Linked DNA regions of Alligator mississippiensis. The main gene of each other region encodes a partner of the protein of the gene in region 3 in a complex. Links are inferred from orthologs where the notes say so. Each region holds a gene or a part of one and is shown on either strand. Other genes may lie near its edges. The genes, in order: RBMX2, SNRPG, E3 ubiquitin-protein ligase RNF113A and RBM48.

Evidence for each region.
Region 1: E3 ubiquitin-protein ligase RNF113A (region 3) and RBMX2 share a complex: the UniProt entries of both Homo sapiens proteins name them as parts of the minor spliceosome. The link is inferred for Alligator mississippiensis from reciprocal best matches to the Homo sapiens genes RNF113A and RBMX2.
Region 2: E3 ubiquitin-protein ligase RNF113A (region 3) and SNRPG share a complex: the UniProt entries of both Homo sapiens proteins name them as parts of the minor spliceosome. The link is inferred for Alligator mississippiensis from reciprocal best matches to the Homo sapiens genes RNF113A and SNRPG.
Region 4: E3 ubiquitin-protein ligase RNF113A (region 3) and RBM48 share a complex: the UniProt entries of both Homo sapiens proteins name them as parts of the minor spliceosome. The link is inferred for Alligator mississippiensis from reciprocal best matches to the Homo sapiens genes RNF113A and RBM48.

The regions. Positions count from the first base shown.
Region 1 is NC_081831.1:40,215,119-40,223,056, forward strand, and holds the start of RBMX2 (RNA-binding motif protein, X-linked 2), read left to right. Parts: upstream 1-4,936; 5' UTR 4,937-4,998; coding exon 4,999-5,049; intron 5,050-5,201; coding exon 5,202-5,325; intron 5,326-7,938. UniProt on the Homo sapiens protein: Involved in pre-mRNA splicing as component of the activated spliceosome. As a component of the minor spliceosome, involved in the splicing of U12-type introns in pre-mRNAs.
Region 2 is NC_081830.1:13,249,194-13,256,397, forward strand, and holds the start of SNRPG (small nuclear ribonucleoprotein G), read left to right. Parts: upstream 1-4,202; 5' UTR 4,203-4,280; intron 4,281-4,286; exon of another isoform or gene 4,287-4,375; intron 4,376-5,057; 5' UTR 5,058-5,114; coding exon 5,115-5,146; intron 5,147-6,596; coding exon 6,597-6,619; intron 6,620-7,204. UniProt on the Homo sapiens protein: Plays a role in pre-mRNA splicing as a core component of the spliceosomal U1, U2, U4 and U5 small nuclear ribonucleoproteins (snRNPs), the building blocks of the spliceosome.
Region 3 is NC_081827.1:158,642,908-158,649,772, forward strand, and holds the start of E3 ubiquitin-protein ligase RNF113A, read left to right. Parts: upstream 1-3,856; 5' UTR 3,857-3,885; coding exon 3,886-3,985; intron 3,986-4,446; coding exon 4,447-4,523; intron 4,524-5,858; coding exon 5,859-5,963; intron 5,964-6,865. Other genes in the region: LIMD2 (LIM domain-containing protein 2), read right to left, coding at 3,300-3,368. UniProt on the Homo sapiens protein: Required for pre-mRNA splicing as component of the spliceosome. As a component of the minor spliceosome, involved in the splicing of U12-type introns in pre-mRNAs. E3 ubiquitin-protein ligase that catalyzes the transfer of ubiquitin onto target proteins.
Region 4 is NC_081828.1:175,536,477-175,544,135, forward strand, and holds the start of RBM48 (RNA-binding protein 48), read right to left. Parts: upstream 3,012-7,659; 5' UTR 2,897-3,011; coding exon 2,783-2,896; intron 368-2,782; exon of another isoform or gene 1-367. Other genes in the region: peroxisomal ATPase PEX1, read left to right, coding at 3,261-3,374. UniProt on the Homo sapiens protein: As a component of the minor spliceosome, involved in the splicing of U12-type introns in pre-mRNAs.

The DNA.
Region 1 (7,938 bases), on a different chromosome or scaffold from region 3:
GGGCTTCAGGCCCCGCTTTGTGCAGGCTCTCCAGGTGCTGTACACCTCTGGAGAGTGTCTGGTCAAGCTCAACTAGACCCTGAAGGAGCCCATCCCATTCAGGAGAGGGGTGCATCAAGGCTGTCCCCTGTCAGGCTAGCTGTACACCTTAGCCCTGGAGCCCTTCCTCTTTCTCCTGCGGAAGCAGGTGCTGGGGTTGATGCTTTGGGAACCAGCTGGTCCTGTGTCAGCGCATGCTGGTGATGAGTCCTGGACCATGAGTACAAGTGACCTGGCACAGGTGGAGGCCTGCTAGGTATTGTACTCAACGGCCTCTACTGCCCAGGTCAACTGGGTCAAGAGCTTTGGCCTGATGGTGGGTGATGGGTGGCAGGTGGACTCACTCCCACCTGAGCTCCGCAGGATTGGCTGGAGCACAGGCTTGCTACTCTATTTGAGGGTCTACCTGTCCCCCACAGACCCCTCCCTGCCGGAGAACTGGCACCAGCTGGAGACAAGGGTGGTGGAGCAGCTCTGGGAATGGGCAAGGCACCTGAGATGTCTCTCCTTGTGTGGGAGAGTGCTGGTGCTGAACCAGCTGGTCCTGTCAATGCTCTGGCACTGCTTACACACCCTGCCTGTGCCTGCTGAGGTCCTGGTGGGACTCCAGAGATGGGTGCTTGAGTTCTTCTGGCTGGGACGGAACTGGGTCACTGCAGAGGTCCTGGCCAGGGCCTGGAGTTCCATCTTCAGGCCTGGCAGTGATTGCTGTACAGTGTTGGTAGCCATGTGGCATGGGGCCACCTGGGGCGTGCTTTTCTCTGCCACTTCCAGGGGCTCTGTTAAGACTGGCAGCTCCTCAGTGAGCAGGGCTTCTCCCTGCAGAACCTGCGAGGACTACCAGATTTCTACCATGACCTCCAGGCCTGGAGGCTGGTCTCCGCCTCCAGGTCCCCCGCAAGTCACCTAGGGTGCCAACCTGCTTGTTGGGGCTTCCAGAGGAGGGGCTCAGCTGGAGGTGCCAACAGCAGAGGTGCCCTAGTTGTGACGGAGGTTGATCCTGGTTGGTGTCACCCATATTGGAGACCTCCTGGACTAAAATAGGTGGGAGTGGGTGGACCCTGCTGTGCTGGCCCAGGGCATGGATCTACCCACAACATGTACAACCTGCCATCTGGTCCAGGTGAAATCTGCCCTACCTCCTGATACCCTTGCCTTTGTCAATCAGGTCCCAAGTGGCTCCCCACTCCACCACCTGAGCTGGAGGACACCAAATTGGTCCGCTTTTCCACTGTCCACCTCTATACTCTTGGGCACCACACTGTCCATCATGCTGCCCTCACACCAAGTGGTGGGACCTGCTCGGCGAGGGCGTGGCTGGGGTGTCTGTACTCCACCCTCATCCCACGAGCCACCGAGGACCCCAGCTGGCAGCTCCTCCATGGAGCTGTTGCCACAGGCGTGTATGTAGTGAGCTTCACAGACACCCATCTCCTGCCTCTTCTGCAGGCAGAGGGAGACCCTGGTGCACATGACCCTTGAATGCGCAAGGCTGCAGCCCCTCCACCTCCAGAACCTCCTCTTGAGGTTCTGGTTAAATTTCACCCCCCACCTTTTTGTTTTTGGTCACTCCATCTGTGGCCTCACCAAGTCCTGGGATCTCCTGGGCAACCTCCTCCTGACCCTGGCCAAGTGGGCCCTGTTTTTGACCAGGAAGGAAGCTCTGGCTGGCAAGGTGCCTGGAGATTGCAGGGCTGCTTTTCTGTCACTTGTCTGTGCATGTTTCCAGGCAGAGCACCAGTGGGCAGCGTCCAGCGGCTCCTTGGATGCCTTTGAAGACCAGTGAGCGTGGCCTGGGGGGCTCTGCTCAGTGTTCTCCTCCGGAGAACTTTTCACATTTTAAACCTATGACCCCCCCACGTCACTCCTACCCTTTTCTTCCTTGGTTGTCCCACCAAAAAAAAAAAAAAAAAATCAGTTGCATCTTTCAAACTTAGCCCCCACTACTGTGTGGGGCCAATTAGTTAACTAGATGGGCCCTAAGGCCCATGATCTCTGGAAGATACAAATAGACGGGAGCATCTGAGACCCAGCCAGTTGGTATCTGGGGACACTAGCCCCTTGTGCCACCTGGACTGATGAAGCAGCCCTAACCTAGAGTGGCCCCTGCACTCTCTCTACCCACTGCAGCAGTCAGGCAATGGGGACTGAGACCTGCTGCCACTTGTGACAGCATTCTGCCCCATGGCTGCATGCCTGCCAGACCAAGAGGGGGACTGCATGGCCACCTGGTCTGTGGTATGGGCACCGCAGCAGAGCCTCCTGCGCTTCTGGGCCAGCTGCCAGTGGGCTGTCTGAGCAGTGCCACCTGCAGGCCAACTGTGATCATGTCTTCTGGTGTTCCTGCTCTATCACCTGGGCAGCTATCACCCAGATGTACTCCTTGCAGTGGCCCACTTTGAACTGTCAAAGCATGCACTCCTGGCTCCAAATGACCAGGTCACCCACCTCGTCTGCCCTCCAGCTGTGTCCCTGGTGCTGACCCTGGGCAGGCTCCTCTGCCTGGGTCTCGCCACTTGTCTTACCTGCAGAAATCCTGTTCCCAGTTTAAAAATGGCAAATTCTCTGATTAAACCCCCCCAAATTCTCTCATTAAAATACCCAAATTCTGTGTTCTTCACAACTGAAATGAAATGCTAATATGTATAGAGAGATTAGTTGAGCAATATTTTATTGATATATTTACAATTATAAAGCAATTTGGAAGCCTACCAGTGCCGCTATCATTATAATTGAAATTCTAAATATCTATAAACTTTGGCATTTGCTTTTGGGTTTTTTTAATGTAGAAAAATCAGAGCTGCCTCTGCCCCCTGCATTCACCAAGATGTGGGGCACTGAGCAGCACTGATATGCCAGTGCCCTGACCCTGCCCTTGCCCCTCGCTCTTAATCCACAGCCCCCTACCCCACAGTCCCATCACTTCCTTGATCTGCAGTCCCTGCTTGCCCCCACTAGCTTCCCCATGCCATTCCTGGGAATCCCTCAACTGGGGCTCGGGGACTGGGCTAGTCAAGGCCCTTCCCTTCCAGGCTGGCCTCCCCCTGCACAGGGTGATCTAGGAGGGCAGGGGGGTGCTAAGCCTAGCTCTGGTGGCCTCTCCTACCCAGAGTGCTCCCTCACCCCTGACCCCCATATATATCTCTCTCATATACACCCATGCTGCCACCTCCACCCCTTCCCCCACAGCCCATCACACCTCCTAAGTAGTTACTGGGGCCACATGTCCTATCACTGGTGTGGGCACGAGGCAAGGCTGCAGTGTGGTAGTTGCCCCTGCAGCCATGGCTCCTGCCAGTGGATTCTGTCCCATCCTCTGTGGCCGGCTGGGTGTACAGGGTGTGAGATTTGTTGGGGGGGGGGGGGGGAAGGGGTTGTGGATGGATATGGGGCTTGTGTAGGAGTTTGGGGTATGTGGGTGAGGAGTTTGTGGGGAGACTTTGTGGGGGTGGGAGGCACTGCTTGGGAGGGGTGAGTCCCCTGCCCACTTACTGCAGGGTGCACAGTCCCAACCTGCAGCAGCCATCGGGCACTCAGGCCCAGCCCAGTGCTGTGCACCTTTGGGCAGCACCAGGCTGCTCTGGCTGTCACCTGGGGTCCTGGCACTGCATGCAGGGGCCGTACATTGTGCTGGGCTGGGCCGGGCCCTGCCTCCAAGTACCCCGTGCCCTGTCAGGCTGGGTTGGCTCCATGGAGACGGGACCTGGCCCAGCCCCTGTATGCAGTGCTGGGACCCCAGGTGAAAGACAGAGTGGCTTGATGCTGCCCGAAGGCACGTGCAGCACAGGCAGCGCTGGGTCTGAAGGGGCCAGGGCTGTGCTGCACCCGAGGGCTCTGCTAGCAGCAGGCCCTGAGCACTCAATGGCTGTGTGCCCTGTGGGAACAGGCCCACATAGTTACCTCCCCCACCACCAATCTCCCCACACCTTCCCCATCCCACCCCACATCACTACTTACCTAGGATGGCATCTGGGTCATACTGCAGCCTTGCCCTGCTCCTATTTGCCCCACCATGCTGAAGGGAAGGGGGCAGCCATAGAGACACTCTGGCTAGATGTCAGAGCCTGCTCCTGTTCCCCCCCCCCCTTTTTTTTTTTTTTTTTTTTGATCCCTGGATTCCAGGAATCACATTTAGGGCCTGTGCTGAAAAGATGCAGTATGGGGAACATTTTTTGATCCCAGCATTCCTCTCGCAGCATCTCACACTGCCTTGAGGCGCCTCAACAGGCACGTATGTGCTCACCTGGACATGACCCTAGACAGCAGTGGGCAATTATTTCAGGCAGTTTTGGTTTACTGAGTTTTGGCAAGCCATCAAGGGCCACATGACAGGTAGCCGGGGCAGATAAATATTAATTTTCTACATTTTTTTAGGGTCCCCGCGGGCCGGATAGAATGGTCTGGCGGGCTGCATTTTGCCCACCCCTGCCTCAGAGTCTTGTATGAAGCACTGGCTCGGGGTCTGAGAAACAGACTATGGCTTGTCAGTCTCCTCCCAAGAGGCAAGCACGGGCTCAGAAGCACAGCTTCAACCCGCCCTTCCCCTCCCGCTCGCCCCGTGTCTTTGAGGCCGTGGCGTGTGGCGCTGTCAGCGCAAAACCGAGCCCCTCACGACTCTTCCGCTGCTTCTGCCCTCGGGGCCTGGCGCCCCGCCTCGGCCCGGCCGGCCGGCGCCGGGCGCTGCGCTCCAGCGCGGCGGCTTCTCTCCGCCCGGCGCAGATGCTGCCCGGTCCGGCGCGGCGGGAACGGCCCCGCCTCGGCAGTCTCTAACCCCGGCCGCCTGGGCCGCGGCTCAGCCCCGCTGCGGGGTGGCCAGGGCGTGTTTTGCAGCCATCGTCTGGCCACAGCGGCGCCAGCGCCCGAGACGCGAGACCGTCCCGCGGGGCCGCCCGCGCTGCGCGAGAGCTCGGGCCAGGCAGCCCTCGCGGGAGGGAGCCCAAGGCGTGAGCAGTGCAGCGCATGTGCACGCACGTCGGCGCAGACGCAGTGACCAGCAGCAATCGACATGAAGTAAGTAATGGCTGCGGCGGCGGCGCTGGGGTGGTTGCCGGGCGGGGTAGCGGTAGGGGCCGGGGCCGGGGCCGGGCGCCGCAGGGTTCCGTGGTGAGGGCGGGCGCGGCGGGATGCGGGGCCCTGACATGGAGCCGCTCACCCTGCCGCAGCGCCCTGACCAAGGTGAAGCTGATCAACGAGCTGAACGAGCGGGAGGCGGCGCTGGGCGTGCGCGAGGCGGTGTCGTGGCATGCGGAATACAAGGACAGCGCCTGGGTCTTCGTCGGTACGAACGTGCGTGATGCGAGCGGGGGGCCGGGCCGGGCCGGGCGGCCGAGGGCTGCTTCCGGGAAGAGGGGACTGCCCGAGGTTCCCAGTGCCTGCGGGCCGCTCCCGGTGTCCATCCCCCTCGGGCTCCACCTGGCGCTGTTGCTCACCTGCGGCCTCCGCCCTTCAGAGGGGAGCAGTCTCCTGGCTTCTGCACAGCAGAGTCGACCTCAGTGCACCAGGCTCTGGGTATACAAGTCCCTTAAGCAGCTACAGCCCCAGCACCCTAACTAGCTTGTCTGTCTCCCCAATCGTAATTCATCCAGTCCTCATATTTCCTCCCTCACCAGTGTCCCCTCCCGCTGTTCTTTTCCATTTCTTTTCAGTATAAACTTTTTCTGCCAACCCATTCCTAGCATCTGACAAAGCAGGTGGTTGCCTGTGAAAATTTGTGCCTCTCTGAACCAATTAGCACAGGGAGCAGAAAGCGGAGCAGCTATTTGCCTCTGTGTTGCCTTTCCCCTCCCTGATCTATCTGTTGCCACGTACACAAGGTTCCCATGCTATTGTTTCTGGGGTGTAGATTGTAGCTGTGTTATTCTAAGGACATGGGCAGACAGAGCTGTTCCTAGTGGTGTGTGAGGCCCAGAGCATATCAGCCTGGGCGGGTGGGGGGCTGGTGAGCAGCTGGAGGCGGTGGCAGCAGAGCCAGGGGTGCTCAGCTGCATGGCGGCCGCGGAGGGGCCTGTGCGGCACTGACTCCAGGGCCCCCCAAAGCGTGGGCTCTGGGGCGGTCACCCTGATTTGACCCCGCCCCTAAGGACGACGCTGTTGGCAGACAAGGTTCTTTGGGTAAAGGTAAATCCAATATCTTTTATTACACCAACTCACATAGCTGGAAAAATTCTTCTTAGCAAGCTTTCCGGCACAAACCCCTTCACCAGGCTGAGGAAGCATCTGCAGATGGTTTGTGCTCTTCCTGGATGGAGTGGTAAAGCAGCCAGAGGTCAGTATTTATCTCAGAAAACCAGTGAGTTAAAATATAAATTGAGTTGGTCAGCAGGTGAGACAAATGGGGCGGAGGGGAAGGGGGAATGAATTCCGAACCTATACAGAAAATTCTCAAACAATTGCAACCCATACTAGAAGGAGACCTAATTCTCAAAAAGATCTCATAACCACCCATCCTATCCTTTAAACAAGCACCAAACCTTGCCATCCTCATCACCAGAAGCAAGCTTCCTATGACCCTGTTGCCTTGTGGGGTCAGGCCAACTCTCAGGATCTCAATATTGCGCTGTTAGACAGGAGGGTGTGACACAATTGCACATGTACAAACACACAAATCAATTAGGTGTGTACATACACGCACACTACCAGCTCAGGCACATACACATCCAAACCAGCCTAGGCACATGCATACCTATCACCAAGTACATATACTATACACCCCAAAAGTTAGACACAGATCACTAATTTGTATATCATGCACACAATGACATATATACACACACACACACTCGCCAGTTCATACACATACAACCCACCTACACATACAGGTAAGTTCCTAATTTGGATGGTACAGTGTATATGTGTGTGCTTGGGGTACCTGGGATACTTGGGGGAAGGTTCAGGTGAGAGAGAGAGAGAGAATTAAAGTGTAGGGAGTGAAAGTTGCCAGAACCAGGATTATAACCAGTGGACTATAGAGAAGCTGGCTGAGGAACTGAGGCTTGGGTTTACTTAAGGTAGACTGGGGCTGGAAACTGAGGCAGACACCTGAGATATTGTGGGGGGGGGGAGATAAGTGGTGGCAAGGAGGAGACAGCCAGGAAAGAAACTGAGGCAGAAACCTGGTTGCTCAGGGGAAAAGGAAAAGACAGTGGAGATAAGACAGTGGCAAAGAAACAGGGGGTTTGGAGGCAGAGAGGAGCTCAGGACAGGTGTTGGAGGTGGCAGTGAGCCAGAAGCAGGAGAGGGAGAAATGAGAGAAGTTAGAGGGGTGAGGAGCAGAGATTGGAGCAGGGCCAAACCACAGTAAAGCAAAACCCAACTCAGGGGTCCAAATAACAGGTTTATTAAACAGACAACACACTACACAGCCCCATGAAGTTATTGGTTCACACACAAGAAACTCAGTGGAAGGTTTGGAGTCCAGGTGGGGAAGAAAAGCAGGGTCCAAGTCCTTGGTTGAAGAGAGGGTGGGCATGATAGCTACCTATCCAGGCTGGAAAGGGGTCTTTGTCCAGTAGGTGTTGTCCAGAGGGGGGTTGCCGGCAGGGTGAGTGGCATGGTGCTGGTTCAAATGGAGAGGGCGTCCCAAGGAGTCAGTCTTCACTGCCCCTTTTTATGGGGCAGACTACTTCTGATCTCCTGTGGGAGGGCCTGTCCAGGCAATGCCAGTCCTGTTCCAGAGGGCTCCAGGTGTTCTTACTGAGCATGTGCAGCCTGGCACAATGGTGGGTTGCCTCATCTTTTGTTTCTTGAATGCTGAGGGTGGTTCCAAGGGCTGGGTCCTTGGTCCAGGTATTGGTGTTGATGGTTCAGTCATTCAGGGGGAGCTATTTTTAGACCCACTGCCATTGTTTCTCAAGCACCCTCATTCATCCCCATTCATTCAGGAACCAAGTTACATAGGTG
Region 2 (7,204 bases), on a different chromosome or scaffold from region 3:
CCTGGCTGCATTACTCAAGGATAAAACGGAAGTGTTGCCAGGAGATTCAGGGCATTCACAGCAGTGGAAGCCATTTACATGCTGCCGGTCAGGCTCAACACAGAATCCTGATCCCCCAGAGCAAGAAGGGCAAGGACTACCACAGAGGAGCTGGGTCTGATTCCCTGGACCAGGTTGGTGGCCTTTGGAGGCTTACAGCAGCATTAGCGGCTGCCTCTGATGCAGGGCTATGTGGGTAATTCTGAATTTGGGGATCTTACCAAAGAAGGAAAGCCAGGTGCAAAGAGATGATCACCAGCAGACAGAAAGATGAAGATGACAAAACAGGAGCATCTATTGACTGGATGCGTACTTGTGAGCATCTGGTCAGGGGAGATGCTGTTCTATTGACTTATTTTGTCCCATCCTGTGACTACCTGTGCTGAACACGACTGTCGTCTTGTCCTTTTCAAAACTGACTTGTTTTCTAAAATATGATTAAAAATAAATTTTGAGGAAACTCTGCTATTGAAAAAAGATGATCACTGCCGTGCTGTGAGATGGACTTGATTTTTGTCTTCTTTTATTAGAGAGGGAGAGGCTTTTTGTGGGCACTGTCTTTGATATGACTAATGGGCATGGTTGGGATAGTCTTTATGCCACATTCAAAAGATTATCTCAGGCTGTCTGTCCCAGCTATGCTGTTGGTCCAATAAAGCAGTGGTTCCCAACCTTTTTAAACTGTGGACCGGAAGTGACCACGGACCAGCATACTGCAGTCTGGAAGTGACTGGCATACGGTGGACCGGTAGCCCACCCTTTTTTACACTAAGTATAAAAAAGGGTTGGCTGCTGGTCTGCAGTATGCTTGTCACTTCTGGACTTTCGGTCCAGCAGCCAACCTTCATGCGGACTGGCAGCCAACCCTTTGTGGCCCAGTACTAGGCCAGGGCCTGGGGCTTGGGAACCTCTGCAATAAAGGACATCACCTACAAAAATCCTTGTTGTGTTTCCTGGGCTCCAACACGACCATTTTATTTTGTTGGCTTCCTGGTATTACTTCTTCATTCTGTATTAGAGCCCACGGGCTTCACAGGGAACACTCAAAACAACTCTTACATTCTGCTTTGGAACCAAAGAGCAACATAACTGTTATTGGTATCAGTCCTCATGTTTGTTATGAATCACAGAAAATTCAGGTTGGGAGGGACCTCAGGAGATCATCTAGTCCGTCCCCCTGCTCAAAGCAGGACCATCCCCGACTAGGTCATCCGAGCCAAGGCTTTGTCTGCCAGGGTCTTAAAAACCTCTGAGGATGGAGATTCTTACCACCTGTCTGAGTAGCCTGTTCTAGTGCTTTTACTACCCTCCCAGTGAAAATGTTTTTACTCGTATCCAACCTAAACTTCCCTGTTGCAACTTGAGACCATTGCTTCTTGTTCTGTCATCTGCCACCACTGAGAAGAGTTTATCTTGGGGGTGGGCAATTATTTGGGTCTGAGGGCCACTTAGGGAGTTTTGGTGAGCTGTTGTAGGTTGGGTAAGCACCCCGCACCCCACCTCCCTCCACACCACAGCACATCAAACCTCTCCAAGTGGATCTGCTCCACACTCAGCTGGGTGGCTGGGATGGTGCTGCAGGTGAGCAGGGAGCGGCATTCAGGAGCAGGATGGGCAGGCAGGGCTGGGATCTTGTGATGACAGTGCAGGGTTGGGGTCTGGGACAGCTGCAATCTGCTGCACACACTTCCCTGTGACAGGTGCCAGTTCTGTGGGCAGGGGAGTATGGAGAGTGCATTGCAGCTCTGCCCCAGGCCCTATACTATCACCACCCTGTGATCCTGGTCCCACCCACCCATCCAGTTCCCAGACACTGCTTCCCACCTGCCTGCAGCCCCATCCCATCTGCATGGCCACATGCCCTGCCTGAGTGGTGGCCGGCTACTGCGCTGCCCCAGCTTTTGTGTGCACCCAGGGGCGATGGGACTGGCTGCATGTTCCAAGGCCTAGCCCAGTGGTTCACAACCGTTTTTGTATCAAGACTCATTTGTAAACATCAGTGGTTAGTCCTGATCCAATGCCTCCTAGACCCAGTGTGGGGCAAGGGACCCCAAGCAGGCTGGAACTCTGCCAGCCTGAGAGGGAAAAGCCAGTTTTCCATGTATTTTCCCCACCCCGGTCTAGTCAGGGAACTTCTGGAGGGATTGGACTATAAATCAGCAGGTCCTGATGATCTCCACCCCAGAGTGCTGAGGGAATTGGCAGAGGTCATTGCAGGACTCTGGCACAGCTTTACAAGCACTCGTGGTGCTCTGGTGTGGTGCCAGAGGACTGGAAAAGGGCCAATGTGGTTCCCATTTTCAAAAATGGGAGGAAGGAGAACCCAGGGAACTATAGGCCAGTTAGTCTTACTTCGGTCCTGGGTAAGCTTTTTGGGAGAATTATCCTGGCACATGTCTGCGAGGGGCCAGCAGAGGAGATTATGCTTAGGAGCAACCAACATGGGTTTATTGGAGGCAGGTGCTGTCAGACCAACCTGGTGGCCTTCTATGACCAAGTCACAAAATCCTTAGACGCAGGTGTCACGGTGGACATAGTCTTTCTGGACTTTAGGAGGGCCTTCAACACCGCCTCTCACCCCATTGTCATTAAAAAACTAGGAGACTGTGGCATCTATACCTACAGAGTCAGATGGGTCACTAATTGGCTGGAGGGTCGCACCCAGAGAGTGGTGGTGGACGGGTCTTATTTGATCTGGAGGGATGTGGGCAGTGGGGTTCCCCAGGGCTCAGTCCTCGGGCCCGCACCATTCAACATCTTCATCAGCGACTTGGACGCGGGTGTAAAAAGCACCCTGTTCAAATTTGCAGACGACACTAAGATGTTGGGAGAAGTGGGCACGCTAGAAGGGAGGAATAGGCTGCAATCGGACCTAGACAGGTTGCAGGGGTGGGCGGATGAGAACAGGATGGGTTTCAACACTGACAAGTGCAAGGTGCTGCACCTGGGGAGGAAGAACCAGCAGCATACCTACAGGCTGGGGAACTCCCTTCTCATCAGTGCAGAGGCAGAAAAGGATCTTGGAGTCATTATTGATGCTAAAATGAACATGGGCTGACAGTGTGGGGACGCAGTCAGGGAGGCCAACCGCACCTTGTCATGCATCCACAGATGAACCTTAAGCAGGTCCAGGGAGGCGATCCTCCCACTCTGTGCGGCACTGGTCAGGCTGCAGCTGGAGTACTGCATCCAGTTCTGGGCGCCGCACTTCAGAAGGGATGTGGCCAATATGGAGAGGGTCCAGAGGAAGGCCACCTGCATGGTCAGGGGGCAGCAGGGCAGGCTCTACGAGGAGAGGCTACGGGACCTGAACCTGTTCAGCCTCCACAAGAGAAGGCTGAGGGGGGACCTGGTGGCTGTTTACAAACTAGTCAGAGGAGACCAGCAGGCACTGGGGGAGTCCCTGTTCCCCCGAGCACTCCCAGGAGTGACTAGAAATAACGGTCACAAGCTGGCAGAGGGTAGATTCAGACTAGATATCAGGAGGCGCTACTTCACTGTCAGGGTGGCTAGGACCTGGAACCAACTTCCAAGAGAAGTGGTGCTGGCTCCTACTCTGGGGGTCTTTAAGAGAACACCCTGCCAGGGTCGTTTGCCCCCAGTGCTCTTTCCTGCCACGGCAGGGGGTCGGACTTGATGATCTGCTCAGGTCCCTTCCGACCCGACCAACGATGAAACCACGCCCCGTCAGGATGTGCATTCAGCAGCATTGCAGCTACCTCGTGCTTTGAGTTTTGAATGTTCTCACGGCCTCTACTCAAGGGATTATAGGGGGGTTGTGGCCCACCCTGACAGGCCTGATTGGTACTTATTGGCTCCACTAGAGTTCCCACCCAACGTCGCGATCGGCCGCTGGCGCGGGTGTCATGCGCGAGGCAGATTTACTTCGTGATAAGAAGCAAAGTTCTTTGAGGCATTTAATCAAAACACCTCTTTTCTCACAAAATCCATTGCATCAGACTAGCAATTCTCAGCCGGGGCGCTGAGCCACCCTCTGGTGCCACCAGATCCTGTGAAGGGTGCCACAAACAAATAAGTCATGGCCAGGCTTGTCCCTGCCTGAACGACCCTACACCCCCGCTTCTCTGTGTTAGGAGCTGAACACTGTAATATCTATATTGGCCGCGGGTCAGCCGGGGGGGCGGGGCGGGGCGGGGCGGGGCCGGCGGCGGAGGGGTGTGGTTTGCATCCCCGCCCCGTCCTCCCAGGCTGCAGCGCGGCGCGGCGCCATTGGCGGTGAGGTGCGTTCCCCTTCGCCCTTTCGGCGCGAAATCCCGGCTCTCCTCACGCGGCGCTGGCGGGACCCGAGCTCAGGCACCAGCTGCAGCCTCCGGCGGTACGTGGGCGCGGATGCGGCTGCGGGCGCCGCCGCTTCCCCGCGGGCCGGGGCCGCACTGGCAATGGCAGCGTATGCTGTTCCCGGCGGGGGCCGGCACGTGGGGTTTCAGCGTTGTCCCAAGTAACGCCTCGATGTAGCCATGGGCCTTCTCTGGACATGGCGGAGCAGCCGAGATGCCTTGCTTTTCAGCTTGCCTTTAGGGGAAAGTCACAGCTCGGTTTTCAGTTCCTGTCTTACAAAGCTTTCACCTTACACTGCGCGACTTCCTGACTTATCAGAAGTGTGTGTGTGTGTGTGTGTGTGGCAGGGGTAGCATCTATGGGTGAACACCTTGATAGCTGGCTGACTTGCACACTTAAATGGTGTTTCTCAGGCTATTAATGAGATATTCCCCAAGTCAGGTTTAGCTACTGGGCCTGTCATATTTTTTCACTCCATCTCGAACAAGAAAGCTGTGGTTATTTTGCAGGAACGCACACCGTTCCTGTGGCTAACGACAAGCTACGGTTCACAGTGGACAAATGCAGTTTTCTTATGCGCTTATACATTTTTGCTGTTTCTCTTTTGTAGTTTTCACTCGATCCTGTCTGATTGCTGTTTCGAAATGCAGCGTAAAGTGCTTTATATTAGTATATAGTTTACAATGTAAATGTTTTTTTATGTTTTTTTTTTCCTTCAGTAGAGCAACCATTTCTGAGTGTGAGGCAGTTGTGGTGGCACCGAGGGAGCAGGCACCATGAGCAAAGCGCACCCGCCTGAGCTCAAGAAGTGAGTGGAGGATGGGAGCGGGGTGGAAGAGAACTCCGTATTCTTGCATCCCCCTGCATCCTGGCATGCACCTTGTTCTGGCCTGCGGCTCCTGCCCACCAAGGCTTCCCCACCCCACATGGTCCCCCAGCCCTGCTGAGCATGTGGTTCCCCTCCCATGTGGCTCTATGTACTGGGGTCCTGCTCTCCCTCCACCCCTCACCTTTCCTTTGCTAGGGGAAGCCAGGCCCCCAGTAGCTGTTGGGATAACAGCAGGGCAGCTGGGGCTTCAAGCCTCCTGGGTTCATGGTGTGGAGGGAGGGGGTAACTGGTGGCAGGGGCATGTCTGGGAGGGAGGGGGTGTCTGGTGGAATATGTTGTCTGGGGAGTGGGGTACACCAAGGGGAGGCAAAATGGCTGATTCAGCCAGCAGCTGGACTCCCATTTCCCAGCAGCTGCTGCCTGCATGGCTGGGGCCAGTCTCCATGGAGACCTCAGCTATGGTTGTGCTGTGAAATCTCCAGGCTGGGGTTGCCGTGGAGACCAGGCCCGGGCTAGTGTCAGAGCAGGGCAGGGGGCTGTTCCAGAGCCCCTGGGATTGTGCGGCAAGGGCAGCTTGCTCTGGAGCCAGGGCAGAGCCACGATCTGTAGCCTGCATACTCTGGGCAGGGGTGTGCAGGCTAGGGATCGTGGCTCTGCGCTGTCTCCAGAGCAAGCTACCACTATGGGAAGATCCCAGTGGCTGTGGGACAGCTCCCTGCCCTGCTTTGCCAGGAGCCCTGCCAGTGTGGCTGTGGCTGGTCTCCATGGAGACCGTCCCCAACCGTGCTGGGAAATGGAGTTCGCTGCTGACTGGATCTGGCCTGCGGGCCAGACTTTGCCCATCCCTGACCTAGACTGTGCAGGGAACAGGGGTCGGTTGCCTGCCCTGGGTCAGTGCCCCAAACTAGGAATGGCCTCTTGGCAGTGTGAAGAAATTGTGGCCCCTCTGGAGGGTTACAAGCCAGGGCAAAGGGGATGGAGTGAGCTCATGGGTGTCTCCTGGTCTAGCGCAGAGGGTATTGGGCTCTTCCCATGTCTTGGGCTCAGAGATGTCCCTTGTGGGGAGGGGTGAATTGGGGCAACTGCCCCGGACCCCACGCTTTGGGGGGCCCTGTGTCAACGGCTCTGTCCACATGCTGAGGGTGCAACCACTCCACACACCACCGGCTTTACGCTCCGGCCACTCGCCACCCACCCGCATACACAGGCCCTGCCCAGGCTCTGCCTGGGCTGGGTACAGAGGGCAGAAGCAGTGGCCAGTGGAGGCTCCAGAGTGAGCAGCCAAGGGACCAGCTGGGCTGTGTTGGTGCAGCCCCTGCTCGCTCCTCTGCAGCTCATGTTGGTGACACCCCTGATCTAGAGTAATTTTTTTCAGTCCAGATCTGTGAATAACGGCTGACGGCTTCTTCTCTGTTTTTTTTCATTGCAGGTTCATGGACAAAAAACTGTCATGTGAGTTATTTCTATCACTTCTGAGGTCCTGCTTTTTAGACATCTGTGTAGCAATGCTTTGCATGTTGGTTCCAGTCAGCAGCCTTCCCTGGGTGCTGTCTTCCCATGGGAGTTGCAGGGGAATGTACTGTGCTGTGAGAGAGAGCTAACAGAAGTGAGGGTCTTTGAGGATGTGGTCCTATTGCTGTATTGCTCATTGCTGTAAAAGACACAGGCAAATACAGAATAAAAAGACAGTCTCTCTCCATAGTGTTCCTAATCTAAGTGGAGGAATGAAAGGCAGTGGTGCCATAAATCTGGTCAGCATGAAAAAGGGGTGACTTGATTCCTGCATTTTGAAGAGTATCATGATTGAATTAGCAGTTCAGAGTTTGCTAATGTTGGCTGCCTTTCTGAAAATGATGCTGCATTTCAGTACATGAAGTTGTAGGGTGGCAAAATGCTTCCTGTTATTGGTGATTCTTTACTTCTACAGTGTAGTGAAGCTTTTTAATTTTTTTTCAAGCTACAATGACTTCAGCGGTATTTTGTGCTTCATTTGCAAAGCTAACATTTCCATCCAAAAAGCCATGCAACTGTCTGCCA
Region 3 (6,865 bases):
TTGTCCCCAAGGAACCCCTTCTCCTCAGGGGGCAAGAGAGATGCTCCCTTCCTCAGGCTCTGAGAAGGTGTCTAACACAGCTCCCCTCCCAGTCAGCAGAAAGGGGAGGGGGACAGGATCCCTCTCTCCTGTGCTTCCTCAGCTCTTGAGGAGCTGAAATAACTGCGACAATTTGGGGATCCATATGCAGCTTATGATTTTGAATTTCTACATAGCCTGTGGTCTTTTGTATTATGACCTTCTCTCCTTTTGCACTACCTCATGTTCTTGTGCTCCAATGACAGGGAGAGGTGCCTGTCTGCCTACTCATGAATAGTTTGATCCTTAAAGACTATGAGCAGCTTAATAGATCTTGCTTGGGAAAACCAAAAAAGAAATGTAATCTCAGCTAAGTCCATTGCTTCCAACTTCTCTGCAGAAGGGTGGAAATCTGAAGGAACTGAGTTGCCCTAGAAACTGGACAAAAAACCCACCCAGTGCGGTGCTAGAATCTAAAAATTCAGAGGGATTCATGGGCAGGAGAGAGGATAAAAGGGGTATGTTTCATAGCAATCAGGTCCTTCTGGAACCACCTGAAGATGAGGGAAGCTGGCTGAAATGACGGAAGAGAGGAAGAAACTCCATAATTCAAAGGAGAAGCCAGGTGCTAGATGAGGAAATTGGGACTCTGACCAAATCCCAAAGATTGCTCAGGAGCAGGGGGAAAACCCATTAGGACCATAATGCAATAATGACACCACAGAAACAGTTCCTCGCTGGGATCCTTCATAAATTTGCAAAGCAAATTCCCCCATAGTTCCCCTGGAGAGAACTGAACAAAGCATGAATTTTAAAGTAGACTTTGGAGGTGAGTACAGCCAAGTCACAGCTCGTGTTTATAAAGTGATTAGCAATCAGCACACCAAAGCACAAACAAACAAACATATTAAGATAAAAGCTGAGTTTCCTTCCTAAAACAAGATACCAAATGTAGCAGGGAGACACTGATACTTCCCCATGAAGTCAGCCACCACTCAAAACAGCTTGAAAATGTGGTGCAGGATGCCAGAAGGGCTTGCAACTACAGAAGACCTAATGAGTAAGTGATATGTCTACAGAACAAAATGAATAAGCATTCTCAAAGAATTTATGGAGGTGTTTCCTGGATTAGGATACCAAAGCAATGTACTGTGTCCCTAGATTTCCACTGTATTGCCAAAGATACATGTGGCATGTAAAGAACATCACCACTGATGGGAAGTAAAAGCTGAATGTGTTTGGACTGTAAAATTAGATACAGCTAAGCAAATACAGACTCAAATGCCTTGGTTAACTAGGTGTCACTGTAACAGCCACCTGAAAGTGAGAGAGTAGGCGAGCTTTGCATAATACACAGTGCCTTTGCAGGTGGTAACAAGTGTGAGAAGAGAGCTCAAGAAGGCCCTGGGAGAGAAGGTGAAGATTACAACAGAACTACAACACATGATGCAAAGAATCCCAGAAATCAGATAAGATTCTTGGTAGTCCCTGGTGCAAGGCTGGTGCAAAATTACCAGAAACTTAAAAAGGTATCATTCTGAGCCTCTTGCTGGTGGACAACTCATTTTTTTTAATTGAACAGTTGCAAAACATACCAAGTAACTAGCAATAACACATTACAAACTGTGGTTTGCTCACTATGGGATTTCCCATAAGAGATAAGAAAAGGGCCTAGAATTCCCAAGGGGTCATTTCAAGGATTCTCTGGGATGTATTGGTTCAAGTACATTATGTCAAGGCCTGAGCTTAAAGCCAAATAGATCAGCAGGAAAGTCGGTAAAAACAGCAAAGGACTTGAGATGACATCCTGGCTTCATCCTGGATCCTTCATTGTTTTAATGGGGCTGGGATTTTCTTTTTGACTTAAAAATAAAAAGCAGTGGATATAGAGTGGGTCAGTCCTTAACACTGTTTTAATATCACAACATGCCTCAAAATGCTTTTTGGGGCATAAGTTCAGAAACTCATGGGCAGAACATCAAAAGAAAATATCAACATCTAAGTATCCTGAGTCAAAGGCAATTAACCTGAAGGAGTTAAAATCAACATGTGCCTCGGCATCCAGAACAGAAAAAATAATGCCCAGCAGCTGAGGTCATGGGAAGTTGGACTGCAATGCTGGCTTTCAAAGAGGTGTCCTGTAACCTGCAGAGGTACAACTGGACCACCACCCAGATGGTAGGTCATAATAACCAGTTAGGGACAATCCTACAGGAGAAACAGAAAACAGCTACAAAATTAGGAGGCTGGCTCTATCCATGGTGCTTATCTGGCCCTATAATCTTCCATTTGAGCACACCACTAACACACTTATGCATGCAATCCCCTGGGAGATAAGGCAGTAATAATATCCCCATTTCTCAAAATGGAGACTGAGGCACAGAGAGGCTAAGTGACTTGCCCAAGGTCACACTGGGAGCCTGTGGCAGTGGAGGGAATTAAACCTAGCACTCCAAAGTGCCAGGGCTGCGTCCTTGCCCCTTGGCCACCCTTCCCATCCCTGGCCTCTGTTCCATGAAGACATCCAGGATGTGTGTGACATTGGGAGTTGAGAAAGGAGACACCTCCTCCACCCTCTCACTGACAGTGCAAAAAATGAGAAGCAGCAACACACCTTCCCCAGGGTGTGACAATGTCCTCTCCCCACCCCACCATCATGTGAGGGGAGAGTTTTGCAGAAGGAACCCGATGAGAAAAATGCAGTGGGTCTTTTCAGAGACCCCCTGCTGCTAGTGGCAGCAGATGCTGATGGTCATCCAGCAGGAGCCAGATCAGGGAGTCCAGGAGCAGCGTCCTTCAGCCAGGGTCTCTGCTGCCCTTCACTGTGGGTCAGCATTTCCATCTGTGCAAGACAGGGTGCAAACTGCTTTGCACTCCTCCGGCATTGGTGGAAATGACAGCACAAGGTGCAGGCAAATCAGCCCCCTTAAAGTCTCTTCTCCCAGACAGGGGATGCAGGGCAGCCCCAGCATTACGTCCCATGCCCCTGGGCAATTCAGGGCACGGGACCCACCCTCCTAGCCTCAGCATGACCCATTCCTCCACAGCAGTCCTCACAGCATCCAGTTACACTCCAGACACACACTCAGCTCTGCTACTTGTTGCTATGGCGATGAGCAAGGGGCCGACTCGACTAGTGCAGGCTGAAACAGCAGAGCCTGGACGAGCTTGAGGGAATGGAGGGGCAGGGGGATACACCCTGCTTCCCCTGACTCACGCACCTGCCTGCCTTCCCTGCCTCCTCCAGCCCCACAAACACCCTGAGCTGAGGGCCACCTTACAAGCATGCAGCTGCGGGGAGATCTCCCTGCTGCTAAGAGTCCCCGAGTCTCCATCGCTGCGATGTCCATTTCCCGGCTGCTCCTGGCACCTTATGTGGCCCCGACGCTTCTCCCCACCTCGGGGGTTTCCAGCACTAAAGTGAGAGGGTTAACGAACATTTCGGAGCTGCGGCTGAAAGTGACTGGAGCGGAGAGGTGCTTGGGCAGCTGAGAGCTGGGCGCTAAGTCCCCAAATCCTCTGCAATCAGTGGGGTTGATGGAAACAGAAATTTCCAACAGCGCTTTATCAAAAGAAAACCCTGCGGGGCTGCAGGGGACAGCGCTGTGCCACGGCCCGCTGAGGGCAGCCCCGACTCCGGCCGCAATTGGACGTCTGTCTCCCCGCAGCCTCCCAGCGGGGCCTGCCCGCGGGACCAGGCCGCACCCTGCGGGCGGGCGCCGGCTCCCCTCCTCCCACCAGGGGGCGCCCGCACCCCGCCCCGCCCTGCCTCGGGCCGCCCCTCCTCCTCGCCGCGCGGGGGCGCTGCCGCGGCGGCCGCTTCCGCCCGCTTGTCCGGCGGCCCCACTCTTCGCCCCGGCCGGGAAGATGGCAGACGAGGCTCCGGTCTGCAGCTTCGTGTTCCGGCGGCGCGGGCCGGCAGCCGGCAGGGGCCGGCGCAAGCGGCCGGGCAGCGACCAGGAGGCGGGTGAGGGGCCGCGGCCGGCACCACTCCGCCAGGGGGGGCGGGCCGTACCACTGCCAGCGCCGGGCTCTGGCTGCGGGCCCACCCCGGGAGGAGGGCGTTCGGACTGTCCCACTGCAGGCGGGGGGAGGAGGGGTTCCTAAGCTGTGCCATTATCATTGGCGGTGCGGACCATACCATCACCACCGAGCGGTGGCGCGTTCTGGGCTGTGCCCCTGCCACTGGGGAGGGGATTTTGGGCTGTACCATACTCTCTGGGGCCGTCCTCGCTTGAAGGCAGGTGGTTCTGGGACATCCCATTCTCACTGCGGGGGGGGGGGGTCTGGACTGAGCCACTGAGCGCAGGGGTGGGGACTCCAGCAGGGCTGGGAGTGGTGGCGCCTGGCCATGATGCCCCCCGAGCCTGGGACAGCAGGGCGGCCCGCTCGGGCTGGCTTGACACCTGATGGCCGCTTTGCCCACAGGGAGCAGCAGCGATGAGGGCAGCGCAGTGGTGCGCAAGGAGCGGCGCCGGGATGCCCCCAACCCCATGGTCCAGAAGGTAATGGCTGCCCGCGCCGCGGTGCAGGCACGGGGCATCTTGCCAGCTGGCCCAGCCCCACCCAGGACTGTGAAAAGCCCCAGGGAAGAGCTGGGCACCACGGCACTTGGGGGCTTTTCCCTCGTGCACAGGCGGGAGCTGACATCAGCCGGCTCACCCTGGCCCTCGCTGCGGCTGTCTGCAGCCACTGCTCCCTGCCCTCGCGTGGCTTGTCTTTTAGTCCTCAGACATCTGAGGGAGCAGAGGCCTCAGCGGGGGGTGTGCAGCTGCGCGGGTGGGGAGCCACACACAGTAGCTGCAGGCCTTGGGTGTCTCACGTGACCCCAAATGTCCCAGTCCGGCGCGGGGCAGATGCCACAGTTGCACTCGTGACAGAACTCGGTTCACGTGTGCGGGTGACGTTAGCCCCTGGATCGCTGCACTGGCTGGGGTGGGAAGTAAACAGAGGGACGCACAAGCCTTTGGCTTGGCAAGCACACCCCTTGGATCTGAAGCAAACCTGTCATTTGTTCCTGTGATGGAACAGGCGGGATGGGCCGGGGTTGAGGGTTCGGGCACTGTGACTGCATTGCCCCTTGCTCGCTGGTCTATGAACTACCTCCTACCACCAGTAGCTGATGGTGGCCTACGGCCGAGGAAGGGCACTGGGGGCTGCACAAAGGTTTTCCTCCTTTTCTTCCATGTTTCGGCCTTTCTTGTTCAGAATCGCCCTGGGCATCTTTAGGAGCCTGGGTCATTTTTCAGGCAGTGTTGGTCTACTGCAGCTTTACATCTCATGTCTCTGTGTCCTCAAGGAGGCCACCCTTCTAGCAGCTCGTCTTAGATGTAAGGGTGTCCTTATATTGGGCCAAACAGTGACGCCATTAGACATGTCATACTGCTCTGTGCCCACTTCCCTGTCCCCAAACCAGGTGCACTGTAGCCTGAACTGCTGTATTTGCAGTATCTGCGTACTCCACGAGTTGCGAGCCTGAGTTCTAGATACTATTATGCAAAGGTCTTTCACTTGAGAGAGAGGACCCATGTATGCATGTGGTGTGGAGGTGTGATCCTGGTATCTGTAACTAGAATGCTCCCCTTTCCCACTGTTGTGCTACTTGCTTCCTTTCCACAGTTTAGTGATAGTTTAGTGATTTGTGCAGAGCCTGATCCTGATGAGACCTGAGTGCCCAAAGTTTCATTAATTTGCCTCCCTGGGCTATAGTTCTGTCTGTAGCCAGCATGGAGTCAGCTCATTAGGGATGGCCTCCCCCGTGGGAGGAGGGCCTCTTGTGTCTGGGTGTTGTGTTCCATTTCCCAGTATTAAATTTTCAGTGTTTTTCTCTCCCCCTGCAGACCCAGAGAAGCGTAAAGGAGAAGACCTCATATGGGTCGAACAGCAGCAGCGATGAGGAGGCATCGCAAGGTGTCGGAGTCGCTTACAAATCAACACGATCAGCGGTGAGGAGAGTACAGTGCTTACGTTTGAAGGGGGCATGGCTGTAGGTTCAGTAGAGCCCAAAGGAGCTAGCTGGTCACCTTGTCTGCCCTCTGGCAGAGTATAAAACTGGGCATCCTCAGGAGAGCTACTGGAGACACTCTTGCCCTGAATGGGAATTTTGGTTGCTTTATCCTGGTCCCATGCCCTGGTTTTATGGCTCTGTTGAGTGCTTCTCTTGTGTGTTCGCCTCTTCGAGAGCTTTCCCAGCCTTGCAGGGCCAGAGTGTCTGATAGCCTTTAATGGAGTCATCCTTGCGATGGTCCTGTGAGGCAGGGCAGGATTTACACAAGGGAAGCTGAGGCCCTTCCAGGATGAGTGACTTGCCCAGGGTCACACAGGAGGTTGGCAATGAACCAGGAGCTTGGAGCCAGGTGACCTGAGTCGGAAGCTAGTGCCTTGCCCCTCCAGGCAACTCTTCCTGTTTGAGCCCTTCACAAGGGGGAATGGTAATTTTATTCCTGCTCTACTAATGGGGAAACTGAGGCACAGAGAGACAAAGTAACTGTCCGAGGATTGTGTAACCAGTTGGTGGAAGAATGGGAAACAGAACCTAGGCATCCTCCAGTGGCCTAATCACGCAACTGAAAACAGAGGGTGGTGGAGAGGTTACAAGTCCTTACATTAGACACAACTCTTCTCAAATGCGTAATGAAATGTATAACTTCCTGTGATGTTGGAAATCCAAGCAGCTGTATCTTGTTTCACTGCCTGGCCTTGAGTGTACCACATGACACAAAGATAGATCAATTCGATCTGGGTTAAATAACACCAGGAGGTGATTGTAAGGGCCTCTTCAGTGTCCTTATTGTTTCTGTGTTGAGGCTGGCTTCAGAATATGGTGGTAGGATGGGCTGTGGACAGG
Region 4 (7,659 bases), on a different chromosome or scaffold from region 3:
CCAAAAATTGACAATTTTTTTAGAGGTGCACTGATAAAGATTTTGGGGGCTGATACCTATAGCCAATTTTTAAGGAGGTATGTCAGCCGATACCGATCCGATTTCCGATACAGCTGCATCCAGATGGGGAGGGGACAGGCGGAAGGGGCATGTGGGGGCAGATCAATGCCCCCCCGCGGTGAGGGAGGAAGTGGGGCTGGGGTACGTACTGCCCAGCCAGGGTAGGGTGGGCACAGGACGGAGCTGCAGCTTGTCAGGGGGCGGAGGGGGGTTGGGGAAGGGGAGCAGCTCAGGCTGCAGCTGTGGGCTGAGGCCTGCACCAGGCTCCTCCTGGTGGGTGGGGGGTTGGGTCACACTGTGCTTGAGGCAGGTTGCGGCACTGGCAGGGGGCTCCAGCCACCCCAAATTTCTCTGTAGCCCCCATACCCCTCCCTCCCAGCGCCGCCACTGCATATCCACCGAGTGCAGCCCAGCCCAGCCCTCCCTGCGGCCCATGGCCCTAGCCTGCAACTGCAGCCTGCTTTGTTCCACCCTGATACAGGGGGCACACGTCCCGCCCGCCATGCCCTCCACCACAATAGACTTACCAGCTGCACACAGCTCTCCAAGCTGTCGGGCTGTGCTCCTCACTGCCTGCATGCTGTGCTGCAGCTGCACGCACACATGGGCATTTGTCAACCAGCAGAAGCGGCAGCGGAGCCGTATGCCACTCAGGACTGACAGGTGCAGGCAGGGGGAAATGCAGCTGAGCCCCTGCCACTCCAGCCAAGCTCGTCCCATCCCGAGTGGCACATGGCTCTGCTGCCGCTTCTGCTGGCTGGTGCAGACCCGGCCGGGCTCCTCCCATCCCCAGCAGCACATGGGAACCTGGCTTCAGCCGCATGCTGCTCCAGGTGGGATGGACCCAGCCACCGGCCAGAAAAAGCAGCATGCAGCTGAAGCTAGCTTCCCACATGCTACTGGGGATGGGAGGAGCCCGGCTGGGACAGCACCGGCCAGCAGAAACGGCGGCAGAGCCGTGTGTCGCTCAGGACGGGACGAGCCCGGCTGGAGCAACAGGGGTTCAGATGCATTTCCCCCCTGCCTGCGCCTGCCAGTCCCGAGCGGCACACAGCTCCGCAGCCACTTCTGCTGGCTGGTGCCAACCCGGCCGGGCTCCTCCCATCCCCAGTGGCACATGGGAAGCCAGCTTCAGCTGCGTGCTGCTCCAGATGGGACAGACCCGCCTGGGTCAGCACCAACCAGCAGAAGTGGCGGCGGAGCCATGTGCCACTCCAGACTGACCAGCGCAGGTAGGGGGAAAGTGCAGCTGAGCCCCTGCTCCTCTGGCTGGGCTCATCCTGAGGTTCATTTCATGTTTGTAAAATGCTTGGAGAGCCCCACATAGACGCACTGCATAGAAGTGAAAAATAAATTTTAACTTATTTGGTTGGCACCTTGGGCTGAGATTTTCAAAGCTGAGTCAAAAGGCCAACTTCCATTAAAATTAATGGGATTTAGAGGGCTCCAAATCTTTTATGACAACTTTGTAACATGCCTATCTACCCCTTTTTGCAAATCTCAGCCATAGTTTGGAAACTCAGCCAAAGAACATAAGAGCTTCTGAACATAAGAGCATAAAAAGCACCATGCGTGGTCAGCCCCATGGTCCATCTAGCTCAATATCCTGCCCCAAACAGTGGCAGAGGTGGATGCTATAGAGGGAGAGTTTTGAACTGGTTATTTAAACCTATTTCATTGTCACTTCCTGCAACTTCATTGGTGTCAAAGGTCACGTGATATCACTTCCTGATGTGATACCACTTCCTGTGAGGTCTTTGAATATGGCTTGCCAGCCCACTGGGTGATAAAAAGTTTGTGATCCGGCCCCACATTCAAAAAGGTTGGACCACCCCTGTTTTATATTGTACAAAGGTTGACAACCTATAGTCCACAAACCAGATTCAGCCTGCAAGATTTTATCTGGCCTGCCAAAAACCAGCTGCCTGCTCATTGCTCGCCTCCTTTCCCTCCCCCTGGGCTCCCACACAGCAGATCTCTGCAGACCCTCTGATCCCACATTTCCCAAGGAGGAATGAGCCAAGCACACAGAAAACTCACGCCAGCTGCTTCTGCAACATGTAGCCAAGGGGCAGGCATCTCCTAGAAGCCCTGGCAGGCAGCCTGCCCGCAAACAGCTTAGGCAGTAGCATGCCATGCAGCACATGCCATGTCTTGGGCAAGTTGAGGTAACTGTCCTGACTCCAGTGGGCAATGGCTGGTCAAATTAAGGAGTTATGACTCCCTGGCTGCATTCATTTGTGTTGCTGTCAGCAAAAGGCTACCAATTCCTGGTAGAGCTCACTGCAACCCTAAGAAGTCACTGTTCTGGCCAATTAAAGTGGTGTTGACAAAGAAAGAGTCCCAAATCTTTCTTGTAATAGGGCTGGAGTTTTGTTGCAGCCATGACAGTCCAGGAAAGGTGTGAAAAGTAACATGGGTTTTCGGTTGACATCTTCTATCGGACTAACCATATAGCTGGAAATGTCAGAGGCTTTCCTACACAGAGACTTCTGGATCACCTGAAGGGTGCGCCATGCCCAAAAGTTCATCTAACACCTGCCAGCCATACAGTGAGTGCAATAAGAGAGCACCAGGCCGGAAACTGGGGGGGGGGGAAGGGTGGCGCGAATCCACCCGCGTCCTCTCCCTTCCCAGCCCGTCGCCGCCGCTGCCCGAAGGGCGGCGCTATGGGGCGTTGCGCATGCGCAACCCAGGTTGACCCGCGCACCGCCGCTCCCACCTTCACGGCGCGCGGCCGGCGGCCCTCGCGGTACTTGGCGCGCGAGGCGCAGACGTCCCGCTGAGCGTGATGCCCGCACGCGCCCCCGACCTCGGCGCCCGTCGCCGCCGCCATCTTCCGCCTCTACCCTCCCCTCCTGCGCCGGGCGGCTTGCCAACAGCAGCCAATCAGGGAAGGGTGGAGCTATTGATTTCCCTTCATTGGCTCTGGGGGGAATCGTCATCAGGCCGGAGGAGACCTGCCGCATCACCGGACTGGAGTGAGAGCCAATGAAAGAGAGGGAGCGAGTGGGAGGCGCAACCCCATTGGCCTGCGATGGGCCGTACCAATGTGTGCGGGCGGGGAGGGGTGCGGCTTGCTAGAGACCTGGACTTCGTCGTCTACCAGCGGACGGGGGAGCTGCGCGTAGCGTCAACCCCGAGAGTTCGGTCCGGCCCGGCCCGGCCCAGGCCGCCTGCAGCGGAGCGGGGCCGCCAGCATGTGGGGCAGCGGCGGCCCCGGCGGCGCAGCGGTGACCGTCGCCGTGTGCGGCAGCCGGGACTGCTTCCTGCACCTGCCCGCGGCGTTGGCCGCCCGCCTCCGCCTGCAGCAGGTACGGGTCGGCTCAATCCGCGGCCTGCGGGGGCGGACCTCGGCAGGGATTGTGGGATACGCGCAGTCCGCCCCAGCTGCCATGGTGACAGCAGCGCTCCCTCACCTCGTGACGTCACTGCCCGCCGGGCTCCCGCGGGTGTGGGGCACGGGCACCAGCCCCGCCGCAGGATCTGGCCCCGCAGCCTCCGCCCAGCCCCCGGGGGCGGGAGGTCGTGGCCGGGGGGACGAGGATTATTATAGTTGTACGATACTTTCGTCCCTTGTAGGATGTGAGATGGGTAATAGTCCAAGTGCTCAACATGTACGATCAGTTTTGAACTGCAGAACTCGAGAACTCTTGGTTCCGAGGTGATACCTCAACCATTCTCTTGCGATTTCTTAGTTGTTCTAATAAAAGGTGTCATCTCTGAACCGAGTTCTCGAGTTTTGCATTTCTTTTTGTCTCAGACCAGCATAGCTACCTGATACATCCCTGATCACTTTTGAGACAGTTGATGCAGCATATGCCAAGCCCAGGCCCCTCTCAGAGAGTCTTATCTAGGATTACCATATTTCCTGTTTCAAAAAAGAGGATGCCTGTCGGGGGGGCAGTGATATGCCTGTGCCCTGGTTCTGCCCCTCACTCACAACCCACAGTCCCCCTCCCTCAGACCATGTTGCTGTTCCTCAGTCCCAACCCACAGCTCCCCCCACCCTGTCCCGGCTGATGCCCCTCACTCCTGACTCGCAGTCCCCTGGCACTGTCTGTTCCCTGCAGTCCTGACCCACAGTCCCTTGTTCTCCCCCCCACCATGTCCCTCACTCCCAGCCTGCAGCCCCCTATCCCCCGCCCTGCTGGGATCCTCTCACTTTCAACCTGCAGCCCCCTTACCCCCCACCCCTCCAGCCCTACCACTTTCCCTCACTCCAGACCCACAGCACCCTGGCTGGCCCCATAGCTCCCTGCTGCCCCTTCCCCTCTCCCTTCCACTGCTGGAGCAGCAGGCATCTCCCCTGTCCTTTGCAGCCCAGTGCCAGGGACAGCTTCAGTGCTGAACAGAGCAAAATCCCAAATCCCAGACATTGTTGATATTTAGAAAAACCATCTAGACAGAGATGGGAGGACTCAAAAAGAGGACATGTCCAGAAAAAAACAGATGTATGGTAACTCTAGTCTTAACTGACTTTTGGGTTTGCTGTCAGCAATTTCTTATGGCAGCTTGCCTTGAAATAAAGAAAGGCTTCAACTTTGATGACCCAGTTGTCACTCACTGGTGATTTACAGTGAGCAATATAAAGTAAATACAAAGAAGACTTGTTTGCATATTTTTTCAGTGTACGTTAGTTTTTTTCAGCAAATATGATAATTTTTGAGCTTCCAATACAGTAATTTTGTATCTAAAGACAATGTTGCCAAGCACTGCTGCTATAGGTAGAGACTTGTACCTGAAGAGAGTCCAGTTCAGTGTAGGATGTAGCCCCTTCCCCTCCCTGTAGAATACAAGAAGGTTGCAGGGAAAATGCAGCATACACTGTCAAGGTCTGGACAAACCCTTTGTGTCACCCACAGATATTAATAATAGGAAAACATTTCAAGGAAAAGATGCGATTCAATTTCCTCACAAGATTAAAGGGACGAGGAGACTCATTCAAGAGTCGATTATATATAAAAAAAAAAAAAAAAAAAAAAGTGTGTGCACTTTTGCTAGAAAGCAGCATCAGTAACCTTGAAATAAATCTTCTTAACATTTTCCTGTTTTCAGCAAAATTCCCCAAGTCCAGAAGAAAACAGTCATGGGAATGGAACCGGTCCATTTCAATCCAAATGTTTTTTCACACTGCTAAGTAAAAGGAGTGGGAGGGGATGAGGGCTGTGTTGTAGAGCTGTGTATTACAGGAACTCTAACTGCTGGCTTTGTCCTTTCTAAACTGAACCAAGCCAGCTGGTACGAGTTCAGAAAACTTTCTATGAAAATAGCAGGAGGAAATGGTGGGGGGTTTGGTTTTTTTGCTTTTTTCTAAGTCCCGCAATTCCAACCTGAATGGAGTTGACCATTTTGGTCACTTGCTTTCTCAGCCAGCCAGCAAATTGTGTGTAGGAAAGCATAACAGAGGAGATGCAAAATGAAACCTTGTTGGACAAAATGCATCATGTTTTTCATCATTTAAAGTGGAATCTATCAGACACAGGATAAATAAAACAAAAAAAATCTATCTGACAATAAAGTGAATGTAGGAGGTTGATTTAAAAAAAAAAAAACTAGGCTTCATTTTTCAGTTAAGCCATCTGATATGGGCCAGGATTACTACTTTCGATTAATTTTTTTGTCCCAAGGAACTGTACGTATATTTCTATTTAATGCAGTTAATGGACCAAATAAGTTCACCGGGACAAATGATAAGTATACAGTACACACCCACGCGCACACACCCGTAAAACAAAGTCTAAACAGACAGATTTTTAGACAAAGAATTTGAAGAAAGAAATAAAGTTAAAAGGTTGTTAGGAAGAAGGAATATACAAGAGACATTGTGGAATGTTTGGGTGGTACAGAACTCATTTCCTGATATGTTCTAAACATTGTTCTGTGAGTAAAGATGGGCTAAGAGGATATGTTTGAGGGAAGATTGAGAGGCTGTGTGACATGCAGGAAGGATCATGTTGGACAGTCCAAGGAATAGAAAGCATAGGAATTGGTATGGGGGCATGCTTGTGGGAGTAAAAGAAAAACTGGAGTTGAGAGGCAGGATTGACAGAGCCACAAGGCAGTCATAAAGAAGATGTAACAGTGGCACTTTAGATCAATTTTTATTGGCTACACATTGTTGTACTTTTCTCTCTTCCTTTTCAGATAGTTGCTGCCTCTTCTGTGTTTTACTTGGGCCTTTCCTAGTTTTTAGCATCAGTAGCTTGATAACCCTTTACAAATGTTTCATTTATTTAGACTGAAGCCTGCCTCTGGATGTGCAGTAGTATGTAGCTGCTTAAGTTAGTCTTAAAACTGTGTCTTTGAGTTCCATGATATCTTTAAAGATATTGTGCCTCCAAGGAAAATGAGTGGCTGTGGAATGGTTGGCTGGACTGTAGTATGGCAGAGGATATGAAGGTTACAGTAAACCGGAAGCTGAATACAAGCCAAAAGCGTGCTCTTGTTGCCAAAAAAACCTAAAAGCATACTGGGTTGTGTTAACAGGAGTGTCACTTGCAAACCAAGGGAAGTGGTTTTTATGCTGTAATTAGCACTGGTGAGGCCTCACCTGGAATACTGCATCCTGTTCTGAGCTCTGCACTTCAAGAAGGACATGGACAGATTGGAAAGAGTCTGGTAGAGAGCACCAAAAATTATTAGCCGTCTGGGAAGTAAGACTTACAAAGAAAGGCTGACAGGGCCAGAGGTATTTAGTCTGGAGAAGAGAAGACTGAGAGCGGGATTTAATAACAGTCTTCAAATACCAGTTTGAAAGTACTTGTGCTGTCCTAAAGAGCTATTATAGAGGGTAGAGATGGGCTTTTCTCTGTGACTGTAGGGGACAGAACTAGGAGCAATGGATTCAGACCTCACCAGGTGAGATTTAGGAACTTTTTGACTATGAGGGTGGTCAAGCATTGGAACAGGCTACCTAGAAAAATTGTGGAACCTCTATCCTTGGGAAGTTTTCAAAAGTCAATTAGACCAACACTTGGCTGGGCTGCTTTAGTCAGGGAAGATCCCACCTTGAGCACAGGGCTGAGGGAAGAGACTTTGTGAGGCCCCTTCTAGCACTACTTTCCTATGATACCTCCATTCCCATAAATGTAGGTTTCACATTTTTCTTTACATTATTTCTTCTAATCACATGTGGTTGCTCTTTGGAATTATGATAGCCGTCAATTTATGACAGCCTTCAAATTTCCTCATGTGAATACCCTTACTGAACCTAATGGAAAATTTGTCACAGACACCAAGTTTATCGTTATTCAAGAACACTTTGATGTACATGTTTAAGTCTCATTGATCCCCAATAGTAGGGCAAGACTGAAGGACATGCCTATGTTCTTTTCTTAATTGAAGCCAGATATTTCATGGACATGCTTAATTCATTCTGTCTCATTTTCGGTTGATATATAATATTAAAAGATCAGTGTTTTGAAAACACCACTAGAAATTAAGATTAAATGAATAGAAATGAAGAAATAAAAACATTTTTAAAACTGTAAGAAAAAGAATTTTGAGAGAGCCTCTTGACTCAAGAATCTTGGTAACTTTTACCAAAAGGAACGTTTTCTGAAGTCTACTGAAAATGGCTTAAACTCCCTTTGCTGA